Linked DNA regions of Danio rerio. The protein of the gene in region 2 interacts with the protein of the main gene of each other region in a pairwise test. Links are inferred from orthologs where the notes say so. Each region holds a gene or a part of one and is shown on either strand. Other genes may lie near its edges. The genes, in order: prpf19, exoc7, kxd1 and ift20.

Region 1 (4,363 bases), on a different chromosome or scaffold from region 2:
GTTCTTTACTGGATATGCAAGAGATATGTTATTTACAAGAGATGTAGCTTAATTTTTATTTTTATTATGAAAAAAAATAATAATAATAATTTTGTTTCCAAAAGTGCAAGTTATTTATTTTCACTTTTTTATAAGAAAAAGGTGACTGTTGATTTTAGGCAATGTGTGTTTTAATTTCAGTTGTTCAACGTTGATGTTCAATAAAAATAATCAGAGATAGTAGATAGTGAGAGTTTACTTCAATTCTTTTAAAATCAAGTTATGCACCCTTTGTTCAGAAATCTCTCACTTGTAAAATGTGAGCATATTTACTATAAAAAACTTGTCAGTGAATGTTTTTGGGGACCAAAAATTTTTATAAATAAAATAATTGTTCATTAATCGCAACCAAGTTAAAATGTTGAATCAAATCGAGATATTGATTTTAGGCCTAATTGCCTTTTGGGATGATGTAAAAATGACACATTCAGATGTAACATCAGGATTTGATACAATCATGTACCTTATCTGAAGATATTGTTTATATAAATGTTAAATTGATCGAGTGTATATACATTTTAGTCAAAAGTTTAACATGAATTTGATCTTTTGGCGTGCGCACTACAAATGCAAAGAATCTCCCTTGCACTTTTAGATACTTATATGATATATCTTCGTGCATCAAAATCTACAAGCAGTAAAAATGCCTACCTGTTCCCAAAACAAACCATCTGGCAGAGTCTGTACCATAGACTGGAGAAACAAAATAATCCTGTACCACTTCACTGGGATTTTAGAATGATACGTCCAGTTATTTATGAAATAATTCAACAAAGCCTGCTTATTCTGTGTGCAATATGTGCAATTATACATGCATCATTCAACGTATGAAAAACTTTTCCATTTAATATTTGGTGATTGTTATAAAAGAATGATTATATTTTAGATTAACACAGTTTTTTTCTCTCTCTCTCTCTTTCAGGACGCCGTGATGCTGCACAGTTTTACACTGAGGCAGCAGTTGCAGACAACACGACAAGAGCTTTCTCATGCTCTCTACCAGCATGATGCAGCCTGCAGAGTCATTGCTCGTCTTACAAAAGAGGTCACTGCTGCCAGAGAAGGTAAGAGTGGCATGATTGCTTTCAGGATGAGATGTTGACTGGAATTGTGCCATCACTGACACATTGTTCTGCTTGCAGCTTTGGCTACCCTCAAACCCCAGGCTGGACTGGTCGCTCCACAGGCCGCTCCTGCTTCTCAGCCCGCTGCTGTGGTCAGTAATTTCTTTAGATATTCATAATGTAGCGTGAAAAAAAAAATCTTAATTCACTCATGAACCATAGGTACTTTGAGGTTTTTCAAATAGAAATGGCCACTATTTTTAATGTTATTAGACAGCAATTATAATAATTTTTAAGGTAAAATTTTGTAGCAAGAGTAAACCTTAAAAAACGGTTTTAGATTGTTATTTTTTTGCTTTTTTATTATTTTAGAAATGTGATATTTATAAAGTGTTTAAATGTTTTTGGTAACTGCCTTACCATTTTTATTGAATTTCATTAAATGTAAAAAAGAGGTTGACGATTTTAGATTTTTGAAAGTCGACTTTTATATTATCAAAGTTGAGTCAACTAGTAGCTTTTAGCGTCATCAAAAAAAAACATAAGATGCAAATGTTTTGCAACATGCCACAATTTGCGATTTATTTGCAGGACAGAATATGTTTCCATGCTGTTGGAACGCTCATAACGCGTTGCAAGAACAATGCAACATTACACCAATGACACCATTTTAGTGCAAAACAAATACACTGTCGACTCTTTCGTTATTAATGTAACATTAGCACCCGGACTAAATTTTACTGCGAAATAAATGCAGTTAACACATTGATCACTGCACATTCTAGTAAGAATGTAACAATAACAGATATTTTTGTGCAGAAATAATGCAGCACACAGATTCATGTGACGTTATACATAACGCAGAAAGGACAGGCTATAACATTAAGCCATATTACACTGTCGGAGTCCTAATCAGACTCATATTTTATAAATATTACATTATATTTAATGTATTTTATATTTTATCGCTATGATCATGCGCACTAGAAAGCTGCTCAAAATCCTGCTTAAGTCAGGCGTTTTTTGTGGTCACTGGCTCATTTTAGTTACAGAAGTCTGCTTGCTGTACATCTTCACCAGGTTCACCAATGTTGATGATGTTTACACCTACACAAGCTGTGAAGTTTATCACACCTTTGCGGCTGTGCACTTCACATTTTTTCACAGGTTTGTAGAGGGCAGCAGACAATCACATTACTTTTCAGGGTTGCTTAAACCTAACTGGCACCGATTTAAAGTTCAATACAAGTTCACGTGAATCTTTGACGCTGACATAAAAAATACAGTTAAAAAAATGTATTTTAAATAATCGGAGGGCAGTTTCATTCAGTGACAACATCCGTGCACTCGTGGTTCCACCTTAGTGTGTAAAGCTGCATGTAGTTCTGGTCAAACAACGTGATCTGCACAGTGAGACTAGTCGAAGTTTATCAAAAAGCATCACGGCAGAGCATTAAAGTCAACTAGTTGATTAGTCGACTAGTCAGTGCAACCTCTAATATATATATTAAAAAAAAATTTCTCAAGATTCTGAAAAAAAAATACTTTTAGATTATAATCTCTTTCAAAATGAAAGATGCAGGAAAAAAAAGTTATTTCATATAATGCAGGAATTTATTTCAAAAGTTGAGAATTAATTCTGAGATGAATTGTGAATCCGATATTTATTTATTTTATGGTTTTATGTTCAATTTTAAATGTAAAATAATTCAACCCCCTCATAGCCATAGTACAATGGAGTTAAATATATAATTTTCTGTTTTCATAGGGTGCTGGTGGTGAGGCCATGGAGGTCAGTGAACAGGTTGGAATGACTCCGGAGATCATACAGAAGGTTTGTGAATCCACAAGTATATTCAGCAGTGTTCTCATTGCTCACACATGTACAAAGGGATTCAAAGACTTTTTCTTACATTACAGCTTCAAGACAAGGCCACTGTTCTGACCACCGAGAGAAAGAAGGTAAACGTTTAATTAGCAGTTTGTGGTCACTGTTATTTGATGTGCTTTTCAATGTCTGTAACCTTTTACGTGTTTGTTTTTCAGAGAGGAAAGACCGTGCCAGAAGAGCTGGTCAGAGCAGAAGATCTCAGCAAGTATCGCCAAGTGGGATCCCATGCTGTGAGTATCCAATTTTACACAGTGTGTATGCGTGCATATTTTTGTTTAACATATGTTGTGTAGGCCTGATGTCCACAAAGGTTATATAAGCTGGATGTTTTTTTTCTATATCATAAGAAAACCGCTTCTAAAAAGTGCTACATTTGGTACATTTATTGTTAAAAAAGGTTTAGTTTTTTTCAGAGGTCAATATATTAGGCTCATTAAAAAAATCCATTATGTTTATTTAAGCTGATTTTATACCATTATGGTAGGATTAGTGCTCAAAAAATAAACTATGAAATCCAGCCTGAAATAGGATCAAAATCCAATTTTTTTTTTAAAACTCAAGAAATGATGAGATTGTATGCAGAAGATGACGTTCCGGACACAAAAAAACTCGCACTGAACACTTGCTAAAGGAGAAAAACCCCTAAAATGTCTATATTGCAACAGAAACCAAGCTGTTAAAAATATTCTTGTGCAATGCCCTATTTTTATTGTTATCCGACAACAATTATTGTCTGGAGGGACTTGAAATGTAGTATTTAATTTTAAAATTGTTAAATTTTCATCAAAACTAAATCCTTAAAAAAAAGTTTTAGATTTTTATCTTATGTATTCTCATTATTACTTTGTATTTTTATCTTCTGTATTTATTGCTTTCGATGACTTTTAATTGTTAGAATATTTTTATAATTATAGAAAAGTATTATTTTTTAAAATGTGGTAAACCTGATCTTTTTTTGCCATGATATAGCCATAAAAGCTGATATGGCAATAAATTCAAAATTCTCTCTTTCCATATGTCCTGGTAAAAAAAAATTGCCAAGTAAGCATAAAATTGTTCTAGAAATCCTGTTTTGATCAAATTCTGTGACAGCATCTTTGAAGGCACAGCTATTGGGAAGAAAATGACGTCTGAATCACATTGTGTAAATATCGACTTATATCTTAATCTTAATTGTAAAATCTTAATAAAACTAATACACACTTTTATAGTTATTACCATGTCATATTGTTAGCTGAGAAGCATGCTAACTTTAAACTCTGTTGAATTTAAACTTTTAAAAAAAAATTATTCTCTGTTTAGAAATTAAGATAAAAATCAACAATTTCCACCTCAAAGTTTGACAAATGGAGTTTCTGTCTTAGGCTTG
Region 2 (4,363 bases):
TTTAGCTGGTCGACCAGGCTGGTTTTAGAGGGATTTTGGCCATTACCAGGCTGGTTTCCAGCCATTTCCAGCCTGGTCTTAGTTGGTCAGGCTGGAAAATTACCAGCCAAATCCAGCTAAAACCAGCTTGGTTTAAGCTGGACATAGCTGGTTTTGGCTGGACTCCCAGCTTGGCTAGGCTGGTCAAGCTGGTTTGCCTGACCAGCTAAGACCAGGCTGGAAATGGCTGGAAACCAGCCTGGAAGTGGCCAAAACCCCTCTAAAACCAGCCTGGTCGACCAGCTAAAACCAGCCAACCAGACTAGGCTGGTTTAACCTAGATTTTTCAGCAGGGCTGGTTTAGAGAGTAAACCCCTGTTATACAATGACTTGGCTAATTACCCTAATTTTACCCTAATTAACCCAGTGAATCCTTTAAATGTCTCTTTAAGCTGTATAGAAGTGTCTTGAAGAATATCTAGTCTAATATTATTTACTGTCATCATGGCAAAGATCAAATAAATCAGTTATTAGAGATGAGTTATTAAAATTAGTATGATTAGAAATGTGTTTTAAAAATCTGCTTTTCGTTAAACAGAAATTGGGGACAAAACATACAGGAGGGCTAATAATTGTGACTTCAACTGTATGTAATGTCTGTTTTTCTGTAGTCTGTGTTTTACCCTGAGACGCCAGCATCGCTCCTGCTGTTTCCTGGAAATCCAGCAGCTGCTGCAGAAACAGGATTGCCTGACAAAATACATTAGGAGAAGACATTTATTTATAATAAAACACCACTTTGAGTACGTTTACTGCATGAAATGGACAATGAAGAGATCTTACATTGCTGGTCAGCTCATGCACAGTTCCATCTTTCGGCATGTTGTACTCTTTATCCGGATCATTCTGTCGGAGAGAAAAACATAATCAATATACAGTTAAAGTCAGAATTATTAGAACGCCTTTGAATTTTATTTTCTTTTTTAAATATTTCCCAAATGATGTTGAACAGAGCAAGGAAATGTTCACAGTATGTCTGATAATATTTTTTCTTCTAGAGAAAGTCTTATTTGTTTTATTTCAGCTAGAATAAAAGCAGTTTTTAATTTTTTAAACACCATTTTTAGGACAAAATTATTAGCCCCTTTAAACAAATTTTTTATCCAGTAGTCTACAGAATAAACCATCGTTATACAATAACTTGCCTAATTACTCTAACCTGCCTAGTTACCCTAATTACCCTAGTTAAGCCTTTAAGTGTCACTTTAAGCTGTATAGAAGTGTCTTGAAGAATATCTAGTCTAATATTATTTACTGTCATCATGACAAAGATAAAATAACTCAATTATTAGAAATGAGTTATTAAAATTATTATGATTAGAAATGTGTTGAAGAAATCATTTCTCTGTTAAACAGAAATTGGGGAAAAAATAAACAGGGAAGCTAATAATTCAGGGGGGCTTATAATTCTGACTTCAACTGTATATGGAATAATTATTGTCATTATGAAAGTATATAATTAGACTTATAAACCTATATAAAATTATAAATTAATATATGGGGGGGGGATGGGGGGGGGGTAGCAAGAAGGTCGCTGGTTTGAGCCTCGGCTGGGTCAGTTGGCATTTCTGTGTGGAGTTTGCATGTTCTCCCTGTGTGTGGTGTGGGTTTCCTCAGGGTGTTCCTGTTTTCCCCACAGTCCAGAAACATGCGCTATAGGTGAGTTGGGTAACCTAAATTCTCTGTAGTGTATGTGTGTGAATGATAGTGTATTGGTGTTTTACAGTGATGGGTTGCAGATGGAAGGCCATCCGCTGCATAAAACATATGCTGGATAAGTTGGCGGCCTCTGAATAATAAAGAGACTAAGCCGAAAAGCAAATGAACAAATTAATGAAAATTAAAATTTGATACTAAAGGTTGAAGATCAGAAGGGGGCAAGTGATATTTCATTTTAGGAAGGGGCCAAAACTGTTTAATTTAACAAAATGACTATATTTTGATCTTAATCTTGATTTTAATCTTTTATAATACATATTTTTACACACATGGATGAACAATATACTTGAATAGATAATATATATATTTTTAAATAATAAAAGAAAAATTAAATAATAAATTCTTAAATTATTATTACATTCATTCTATTGCATTAAATTTTTATTTAATTAAAATATTAAATAATAATAATTATTATTATTAATATTATTTTAAACATTATTAAATGTATCAACAACATAATAAATAGTATTATTAAAGAAAATAAATACAATATAACAAAATATTATTAATATGAATATAAATACTAATAACAGACTACTTAAATACAATTATTATATTATTTGTTGTATTATATTGATATGCACTATTAAATTATTAATAATAATGGTTTTAAATACACAATAATTAAGTATTATTCTTAATATTATTATTCTAATTATTATTAAAATGCATTATTTAAAATAATATGATAAATAGTATTATTAAAGAAAACAAATACAACATATTAATAATAATATATTTACTAATAAGAGACTATCAAAATACATTAACTATATTATTTGTTGTATTATATTAATATGCATTTTTTAAATAAGTAAAATAAAATAATAAACAATAATTAATTAACAAAAAACAATAATTGTTATAAATACACAATAATGAAGAATTATTTTAAATATTATTATTCAGAATATTATTAAAATACATGAGTAATAATTTTATAATAAATAAAAATGTTGGAGAAAGTAAATACAAAATAACAATAATAACATTAATATAAGCACTAACAACAAACTACTTAGACAAAAATTATATTATTTATTGTATTATATTAATATACATTTTAAAATAAGTAAAAATAACTGTTTTAAATAATTAATAATGAAGAATTAAATGATTAATAATAATAATACATATTATTGTTTTTAATAATTTAAACAAAATAAAACATTTTGAATATTTATTTAACTACAAATGATTAATTAAAGATTCACAAATATAAATATTTTACTAACAAACAACATAAATACAATTAAATATAAAAATATAGATGTAAAATGAACCTTAATGCTGTCAGCAAACTCTTCCAGTGCTTTCGCTCCAATAGTCTCCATAGAGGTGATGAGCGCCGGCAGCTTGTTTTTGGTGCTCGCCGCTGTTCCCTGCAGTGTGGCATCGAAGTCTGGTTTGGTCTGTTTGAGATGCCGTAAGATGGGGAAGATGGTCAGAACGGCGGAGTAATCGTGTCTCATGATGGCTCGACGCGCAGCAGACACGATATTATCACCTTCCAGCATTAAATTATCCAGCGCTTCCTGCAAACACACAACGCTGGGAGTCAACACACATGCAGGTCCACTCACGAATGGTCACATTTAAGCACTTTTTAAGCACTTTCTGGGTGTAATTACACATTTTTTTACATTTAAAATTATACATTTAAATAATATGTAAGCAAATTAGATATTTGCATACATATACATGCTATGATATACCAGATGATTTTTGTTTTAGTATTCTGTAGCACAGTATGGTAATCTAAGGAAAAATGTCAACCACATATTTGCCCCAAGTGTATTAAATTACTGCAGGGTTTTTCAAAGTCTAAGACAGTGGGCCTCCCTTTTGACACAACTTATCCATTGGCGCCCCCCTCCTCCCAAACACGCACGCACGCATATATATATATAAAGACACAGACAGATGTCAGACTGTTAACTCACTTTTATCATCATTTGCATGAAAGTGCAATTATTTACAGAGTAATAACAAGCATTTTAATATAACGTTTTTAAAACTAGGATGATGGTTCAATATGAATAGAACAGTTCCAAGAACTGTCCGTCCCAGTCAAAACAGTGGAAGTTTAGCGGGTCTCATGCTGTCATTGCCAAAATATTTTGACAAACCACACATAAAGGTCGTGGTTCCTCAGCTGGTCCTGTCCACGTAAATCCTAAACTCAAATACTGATCATCATATCGTTGTCTTTTGGGTTTAAGCCCTGAACTTGAAGGCTTTTGTGGCGAGGGGGCGTGGCCGAGCGCCGTGGGAACGGAGTGAGGCCACCGCGTAAGTGGATCCACCTGCGGTGCGCACCTGCCTCAGATCCCACGGAAGGAGCTCTGGATCATAAAAGGAGGAACAAGGGCAGAGGAAGCCGAGAGAGGACCGGACCCAAACATATTTTACTTTTGCTTTCAGTTTGACGGCAGTCTCCGTGAGGATCTGCCGTCCGTTTGTTTTGGTTTAGATGGAGCTGCCGTCACTGTCACTTTAAAACTGCTTCGGTTCTCCGCCTCCTTCCCGGCGGCCAAAGGGCCGTGAACTTCATTACAGTTTTGAATCGGGGTGGGTCTCAGAAACCGACCCAATGTATTAG
Region 3 (4,907 bases), on a different chromosome or scaffold from region 2:
GTCGGTCGGCAAATGTCTTCCTGCCAATTATTGAAAACTTTCAGGGAAATTTTAATGAGAAATACAGGAGAAACCGTTTTTGCAGCATAAAAGTTTTTTTTTTTTTTTTTTAGTTGGTATTTTTTATTTAAAAAAAAAATCTGTGTAAGTATGCAAGTAAAATCTTATATTGCTGTGATTACCTTCTTCTAGGCTGAAAGATGGAACCATTTTGAAAGATGTAAAAAAAAAAACTGTGACTGATAATATATATATATTTTTTTTTTTTTGAGTGTAATGTTCAGAACTTTTTATACAAAATGTTTTATAAAAGAAAATATTTTTTAATAGAAAAAAATTTATTTTATAGCTAATACTGCAAATAAGTGCATTGTATAATAATGTACAATAATGAAATAAATCCAAATGTCTTTATCCAACAGATAAATAAATAAACATATTGTGCTATGTTGAATAAAAATAAACTGAGCAATGTACTGAGGAAATATAGCTACTATTTAAATAAACTGATTTTAAATAAATTGTGTGAGAGCTGACTTTATAAGCATGTGTTACAACTAACCCTCTGTCTGTTACAACTTGCCCCACATGTGGGGTAAATAGTAACATTTTTACTCCCTGCACTTTTGGCAATAATACACAGAAACCATAGGTCTGAAAATCATACAACCATTGCTCATTGGTAGGAGAGGCTTGTGTGTTGTTGGTAAAAATAAATGGTTCAGGGTTCAGACACATTTTTACTACTAAAATTCCATGACTTTTGCATGATTTTTCCAAAACTTTTAAGTAAATTTTTATGACCTTAATGTTTCATGCAATGTCTACATATGCATGGTAAAAGAAAAACAATGCAGGTTCAAATTGATTACAGCATATCGTAAAACAAGCAACAACCTATTAAGTTTTAATTTATATTTACATCTATGTAAAATTGATTCAGATAATGCTTACATCACACTAATATTGTGAGAATGTGACTGGCAAAGGACAGAAAAGCAGTAAATAACCTATATTCAAGTATAAAGATTTCTGTTTTCCATGATTTTTCCAAAACTTTGTGGGTTTTTCTCTTTTTCCCAAACTTTCCCAAGCCTTGAAAAAGGCATGTCAAAATACTACGACTTTTCCAGGTTTTCCTTGACCGTATGAATTCAGATGGTTTGTCTAACTCCATTACTTTGTTCATTATTTGGCCAAAACCAAAAAGTGTTACTTTGTGCCCCGCTCTCCCCTATACACAGGTGAAAACTAGAGTACATTTTCTATTTACACTTAAATAATGTACTGACTTACAATGTAATATTACTCAACTAATTTGTTGAGTTTAATTTGTGAAAAGTTACTTTAATGGCATTTTAAATGACAAAATAGTAAAATATGGTAACACACTCATTGCTAAACATCACTCAATTCAATCTTAATTTGCAAACATAACACCTTATTCTTCTGAAGATGCTGTCCAAGTCTTTCTTCATCTCTATCAAAGTCCTGGTGTGCATCAGAAAGTGTTCATTCATCTGCTGTAAGCGCACATTGGACAAGCCGTTGAAGTTGATCAGCATCTCATTGGTTTTCTCAAAGCGGTCCAGCCTGTAGGACATGCATCAAAACAGGTTTTAAACAGCTTCCTTTTTAGGTACTTTACTAGAATTTAGGTACGTTAAAGTTGGTTTTAAATTCAACTTGTGACATTCTTCCTATATTTTGAGGTGAAGTTGGTTTTATATTCACACATTCAGACTTTCTCTTTAATAATATAATTTCAGAAACTTACTCTTTGCGAATACTAAATAGTGGAAACATATTAGCAGTCAATGAGCATCAGACTAGGTTGTTTATAGTCAAATAAATAGTGGTTATGTTGTTTTGAAGTCATTCTTACACAGGATTTCAGACCCAATGTTTTACCAGTACCATGGTAAACAATATAGGGACCATATCACAAGTGATCACTGAAAGAATGTTCAAATATAAAACCAACTTTACCTCAATTTCCTTATGTTTACCGTGGTAATTTGAATAATCGAAATCAGGGCGAGGCAGTGGTGCAATAGGTAGTGCTGTTGCCTCACAGCAAGAAGGTCTCTGGGTCGCTGGTTCGAACCTCGGCTCAGTTGGCATTTCTGTGTGGAGTTTGTATGTTCTCCCTGCCTTCGTGTGGGTTTCCTCCGGATGCTCCGGTTTCCCCCACAGTCCAAAGACATGCGGTACAGGTGAATAGGGTAGGCTAAATTGTCCGTAGTGTACGAGTGTGTAAATGTGTGTGTGGATGTTTCCCAAAGATGGGTTGTGGCTGGAAGGGCATCCGCTGCGTAAAAACTTGCTGGATAAGTTGGCGGTTCATTCCGCTATGGTGACCCCGGATTAATAAAGGGACTAAGCCGACAAGAAAATGAATTATATGAAATCACAAAGACTATAGAATACATAGAATACAATATGCCTTACAGGGACTTTGGTGTGACTTGAAAACAACATTAGCACTATTTATTTGACTGTGAACAATGTTGCATTTTGATAGTCATTGGCTGCTAATATGATTCCACTGTTAAGAATTTGAAAACGACACTTTTCTGAAGTTATACTGTTAAGGAGAAAGTCTGGATGTGTGAATATAATCCGAATTTTACCTCAATTTCACTAGACAGGGATACTCACATATGTCTCTGGGCTTGAATGATGGCGTTCACATCCTCAGAGTTCACCATACTGAGCATCCTGTTACAGAATATTCCCGAAGCTGTGGGCTCCATTTGAACTTTTTCGAGAGCAAAGCACGAGATTTATTGAGTTATGCTAATAATAAACCGATACAGACGAGTGTAATCGCTTACGTGCTAAAATATTCGCTTTCTGACTAGTTTTCGTCTGACTTTGTTTGTTTCTAAAGCGTCGCAGTCTGATGCAGGAGGTTTTGCATGTATGCAGACTTTTATTGTATTCCTAAAACGATCAAACATTTACTGGACTGAGATGCAGGCAGACATTTTTGTTGTGGTGTTGTCATATGATCGCTGAGAGATCGTGACGCATTTGGGAGGCGGCATCTAGAAGGTTTTCTTAGCGTTGATTGGATGTTCAGAAAGACAGAAAGAGGGGTTTAAAAGGGCTTTAAAATGAAATGTAGATTTATAATGCGCTTTCTGTGATGATAAAGAAGAGAGTATTGCTCATTTATGTTATGGTTGTATTTATACACAGTTGTTTTGGTGTTATCTTTTTTTTTTTTTTGGTAAACGTTATGAATATTGCTTTTCAATTCAAAGAAAAAGATTATTTATTCTTTATATGAGAATACTGTCTACTTTATAATGTGGTGTTTTGTAATTTGCTAATTATATATGGAAATATTTTTATTCATAAATGTACATGTGCAGTGGAAAAACCTAATTTTACTCACTTAAAAATAGAAATAGGACAAGGACAATAAAAGAAACAAAAAATACCAAACAAAAAGAACTGTTATTATTATACTATTATTATCTTAAAGCCTTAAATGCTGTCTTTGAATAATTGTATTTTTTTATTTTTGTTTTATGTTGTATTTATTTTTATGTAAACATAATGTTTTTATTCCCTTTGTATGTTCTGTGTTCTAAAATTGCAATAAAAAAATAAATAAATAAAAAGGGCTTTAAAATATTGTTTTAATTTGTTTTAACATACAATATAAAATAAGAATACAGTATCCCAAAATGACTTCAGTACTATATGCACCACATGAGATGGATATTATGAATATATATATATATATATATATATATATATATATATATATATATATATATATATATATATATATATATATATATATATATATATATATATATTAGGCCTGTATTTTATATTTCGGTAAATATTAGTTTCTATTTATAAATATAAATGTTATTATGAATAGTGGAAGTAATTTATTCAGTTTATTTAAGCATTTTCTAAACCTATTAATATAAATGGCGTTATATGTAAACTGTATTATTACATTTTTAAGAAATACTTTTTTATTAATTGATTTTAATACATTTTAATTATGTAAAAATATACATTTGCATAATTAACTTATTTGTATTAATAGTATATATTGTTTGAAGATTGCTTATTATATTATTCGATTTCAGTTTATTATACACAATGTAAAAATGATATGACAAAAGTCAACAATATTTTGTTACTTTAACTTATTTAAATAAGTTAATAAAGCTGTATGGCATTGATTTCTGAAGTGTATAATGTTTGGCATTACAGAATTATTTCTAAATGGATCTTGTCACTGAACACTACCATTATACATAATGTACAGTTGAAGTCAGAATTATTAGCCCCCTTGATTTATTAGACCCCCCTGTTTATTTTTTCCCCTCAATTTCTGTTTAACAGAGAGAAGATTTGTTCAACACATTTCTAAACATAATAATTTTAATAACTCATTTCTAATAACTGATTTATTTTATCTTTGCCATGATGACAGTAAATAATATTTCACTAGATATTTTTTAATACACTTCTATGCAGCTTACAGTGACATTTAAAGGCTTAACTATGTTAATAATGTTAAGTAGGTTAGGATAATTAGGCAAGTTATTGTATAATGATGGTTTGTTCTGTAGACTATCAAAAATACAAAGTTTAAAAGGGCTAATCATTTTGACCTTAAAATGGTTTGTAAAAAATTAATAACTACTTTTAATCTAGCAGAAATAAAGCAAATAAGACTTTCTCCAGAAGAAAAAATATTATCAGACATACTGAAAAAATGGCCTTGTTCTGTTAAACATCATTTGGGAAATATTTAAAAAGAAAAAAAAAATCAAAGGGGGGCTAATAATTCTGACTTTAACTGCATACACAATTTAACCTTTTATTTTTAGCCAGTTTTTAACTGGTGTGAGTTGAGATGACGACTACAG
Region 4 (3,717 bases), on a different chromosome or scaffold from region 2:
AGCAGCGCCTAAGTGAATATAAGAATTCAAATAATTAATATTAGTGAATATTACACCTGCTCAATGAAAATCAGATGATTCAGTACATTAATAAATCTGACATAACTTGATCAGAAATCTAAAAAGAGGAGAAAAAATGGTCAAATGGTCCGCACGTTGCGTTACAACGCTGCCAACCCGAGTTCGAACCTCACCTAAATAATCTTTTTTTTTTTTTTCTTTTCATTTTTAGTGTTAGTATAATACTGATTGGGTTACTTATGTAGGTGTACATATTTTATTTTTTGTGTGACCGCCCTTACAAAGGACTGGATATCTATAAAGAATTTTGCACAGAATATATATTCGGATATTGCAGGAAAGGACGTTGTAAAGAATAGTGTTGGAGATTTAGCTATCCCTTTAATCTTCTCATATTTATGAAAAACATTTGAACTTCTAAAGCAGCTGTGTCCTTGAAAAAGATTGTATATTGTCATTAGAAACTAAATTAGAAATGACGTTATTTTAATATAGTCAGTCGTGAACTGAGGTGGGCCGGTCTAAGGCTTGAAACTCCAGGGCTAAAAAGCAGTCCCACTCCGGCCCTGCTGGTATATAAATGTTCAGAGCAAAACATCGTTTCAAACTAATTAAATGACATTTTAGCCATGTTGTACATCAGATTAACGCGAAAAAGTTTTTTAGAACATCATTGCAAAAGCAGCAAACTGAATATTCTTAAAATGCATTCTGAAAGTTCAATAACAATAAGTAATTATTACTTATTTTAAAGTGATAAAGCATGTATGTTCATTATCGTTGTGATATATTATTGAATACTGGCACGTCTAGACATTTTACTTTGCAAAATCAACACTGTATTTGTCAGTATTGAATACAATAAAATTATGCATATTTTTCTTTTAACATACTTCTGTTTCTGTATAATTATCAGCCATTATTGAGTCACACAGGCAGGTTACGGTCCTCTGGTCATGGCTAAAGACCCGTTAGCAGAGGCTGGTCTTCATTTTGATGAGCTCAACAAACTGCGAGTACTTGAGCCTGATGTGAGCCAGAAAACAACTGAGCTCAAAGAGGAATGTGAGGAGTTTGTCGACAGTAAGTGTTTTTTATTTTTTAATCTCATTGTGAAGTTTATCTCTCTTAACTGAATTTCTTTGCTTTTTGCAGTCCAGATCAATAACTTCTCCTTTTGCTTTTGAAAACAGAGATCGGACAGTTTCAGAAAATTGTAGGTGGACTTATTGAACTTGTGGATGAACTTGCGAAGGAAGCCGAAACTGAAAAAATGAAGGTACGTTGTTGTTTTAAACTATTAGCAGTGCATATTTGCGTTTTGTATTTATATATGGTTCACCTTCAGGCCATAGGGGCAAGAAATTTGCTGAAATCGGTTGAAAAGCAACGGGAAGCCCAGCAGCAACAGCTTCAGGCTCTGATTGCAGAGAAGAAAATGCAACTGGAAAGGTAAATATGATAATACATCATAATACATCATTATGGTCTGATATTTTTCTTCAGTTCTATTTTTCAGTCATTTTTCAGTTACTGCATGGTAATTTCCAACTTGTTACTTCTAAAAGAGAACAAAAGAAAGAGCATCACCATAAATCTATTACAGCATTTGCATTGGCATGTGCACAGTGCTAGTTAGCAACTAAATACATGTTATCTGCATTACGTAATCAGATTCTGAAAGTTAGGTTGTAACTTGGAATTGAAGTATATAACATTTTAAAATAATGAAACATACTTACATACATACATACATTTTGGACTCCTCCTTTTATCTTTCACTCACAGCAAAGTAACTGTTGGAGGGGCGTGGTTAAGCATATATCACCCAAACTTGTGTAATCAGAGGTGTAGATAGTAAGTGGTCAGAATTTAATTAACGAATATCAAAACACTGAACATCTTTTTCACTGAATTGACTAATTCAGAGCACAGATTAATTTCAGCGTGCTAGCAAAATAAACATGTGGTTACATCAGTTGGTAAGTGAAAAGTTCGTAATCTAAAAGTAGTTGAAATACATAAACCATTACCTAAAATGAACCACAGTTCTTCATGATCATCAGTAATCAGCAATTGACTACAGTTTCAAAGTAATCTGCCCAGAACTGTATGCCGTTCATTTTAGGCCACCAATATTGCTTATGACAAGGGTTTCTGAATGTTGCATACAGCCACTTCAAGTAGTGAACAGCATTGTGTTTATGCTCTGAATTTCTCTTCAAGACTAAAAAGTCTTTTTGTTTTGCAGGTATCGAATAGAATATGAAGCTCTTCAGAAAGTGGAAGCTGAGCAGAGTGAATTCATTGATCAGTTTATACTGCAGAAATAAGAGCACTGTGTTTCCTCTCTCTGCTGGACAGGAAAAATGATGCTATGCATCTTGATTCACATTGACTTCCTAATAAGTGCAAGGTCTCAAACTAGATGAACTGAATTGAGCAGTTATGGCAGACAACAGACGTCTGTTTCAGCCTCAACCTCACAGCATTGAGTGCTTTTGCATGGCCAGTTCCTGGAGGCACATCCTTGTAATCTTTCCAACCATAGATCATAATCTCAGATGAAACTATTTATATACAAATGTTATTTATACTATTTATATGAAAATTAGTTTGTAAATCTGATCTTTTTTTTTACAATAGGGAAATACAGTATTTGCATGTTACTGTAAATAATTCCATCATGTGACATCTTCAGGTAAATCTATTGTTTTCTGTATGATTACAACTCCTGTTTGAGACTTGAACCCATGTCGTTTTTATTATATCATATCCTCATGATATTTTTATTGGGACCAAACCAAAATAATTTCAGTAGAAGTTATGGAAAAGTAAGTTCATTTATTACTTGTTTACATTTACCATGTGTAATCTCAACATTGGGCAAAGCTCATAAAGATCTGAAGAACATTTGAATAAAAATATATTTTGCATTTACATCTGCTGTCATCGGTAAACAATTTCTAGAGCTTAAAAAATGGTCACATATAATTGAGAAATTTGGCACATATTAAATCACGTTTATCAAATAATGACTACTAACAACCCTGTTGGGATTTGATCAATACATACTGTGCTCTAATTTAGGGTGTAGAAAGATGAACTGGCATTTATCTTTGTTTCTTGGCCTTTGAGGGAGCATTTCCTTTCAGAGATGGTGAGTTGTAAGTTGCGCTGAAGAGCATGGTGAGCAGTATCATAATGGGAATGATGAGGTACGGAGCATAAATGGACACCAGGGTCAGACGTTCATTCAAAGTTTGGGGTCCCGGATGTGGACTCAAAGGAAACTTGTGGAAAAGTATGTGGCTTAAAATTGGGACCAGAGTGGTGGCCACATGAACAGAATAAATTATGGCTGGAGTTCTGATCCATTTGCAGCCACCTATTAAACAGACGAGCACAATAATTAGCTGGAATAATATGACCTTAGCTAGTAGAAGACAATGGATTACTTTCACTGCATCTAAACCAATATCATGTTTATTAGAACCCATCCCAATACCAACTTAATTATAGACAGTAGCATCTCCTCTTTATCTTTAGGTCACTTCCCAATCAACAGCTAGATCTTAGTGAATTAAAAATGCAAAAAGAAAAAAAAGGGAAACATATAGACAAATGATATTAATAAAAGTTTTCACTGCACTATTAAAGTTATAAATGACCTTGAATAAATGACATGTTCATTAA

What was found.
Region 1: the proteins of exoc7 (region 2) and prpf19 interact in a two-hybrid assay, tested with the Homo sapiens proteins (2 studies listed by BioGRID and IntAct, with this or other methods). The link is inferred for Danio rerio from reciprocal best matches to the Homo sapiens genes EXOC7 and PRPF19.
Region 3: the proteins of exoc7 (region 2) and kxd1 interact in binary tests that used the Homo sapiens proteins (3 or more experiments, as listed by UniProt). The two-hybrid records come from large-scale screens. The link is inferred for Danio rerio from reciprocal best matches to the Homo sapiens genes EXOC7 and KXD1.
Region 4: the proteins of exoc7 (region 2) and ift20 interact in binary tests that used the Homo sapiens proteins (3 or more experiments, as listed by UniProt). The two-hybrid records come from large-scale screens. The link is inferred for Danio rerio from reciprocal best matches to the Homo sapiens genes EXOC7 and IFT20.

What each region holds. Positions count from the first base shown.
Region 1 is NC_133189.1:18,664,893-18,669,255, forward strand, and holds part of prpf19 (pre-mRNA-processing factor 19), read left to right. Parts: intron 1-961; coding exon 962-1,103; intron 1,104-1,181; coding exon 1,182-1,255; intron 1,256-2,871; coding exon 2,872-2,937; intron 2,938-3,023; coding exon 3,024-3,065; intron 3,066-3,149; coding exon 3,150-3,224; intron 3,225-4,363. UniProt on the Homo sapiens protein: Ubiquitin-protein ligase which is a core component of several complexes mainly involved pre-mRNA splicing and DNA repair. Required for pre-mRNA splicing as component of the spliceosome.
Region 2 is NC_133187.1:48,882,937-48,887,299, reverse strand, and holds part of exoc7 (exocyst complex component 7), read right to left. Parts: intron 3,297-4,363; coding exon 3,045-3,296; intron 886-3,044; coding exon 823-885; intron 730-822; coding exon 663-729; intron 1-662. UniProt on the Homo sapiens protein: Component of the exocyst complex involved in the docking of exocytic vesicles with fusion sites on the plasma membrane.
Region 3 is NC_133200.1:21,951,302-21,956,208, reverse strand, and holds the start of kxd1 (kxDL motif-containing protein 1), read right to left. Parts: upstream 3,013-4,907; 5' UTR 2,757-3,012; coding exon of another isoform or gene 2,662-2,756; 5' UTR 2,010-2,661; intron 1,594-2,009; coding exon of another isoform or gene 1,566-1,593; coding exon 1,441-1,565; intron 1-1,440.
Region 4 is NC_133190.1:26,254,263-26,257,979, forward strand, and holds the end of ift20 (intraflagellar transport protein 20 homolog), read left to right. Parts: intron 1-933; exon of another isoform or gene 934-937; 5' UTR 938-977; coding exon 978-1,104; intron 1,105-1,214; coding exon 1,215-1,300; intron 1,301-1,369; coding exon 1,370-1,473; intron 1,474-2,272; coding exon 2,273-2,354; 3' UTR 2,355-2,961; downstream 2,962-3,717. Other genes in the region: tmem97 (sigma intracellular receptor 2), read right to left, coding at 3,135-3,409. UniProt on the Homo sapiens protein: Part of intraflagellar transport (IFT) particles involved in ciliary process assembly. May play a role in the trafficking of ciliary membrane proteins from the Golgi complex to the cilium.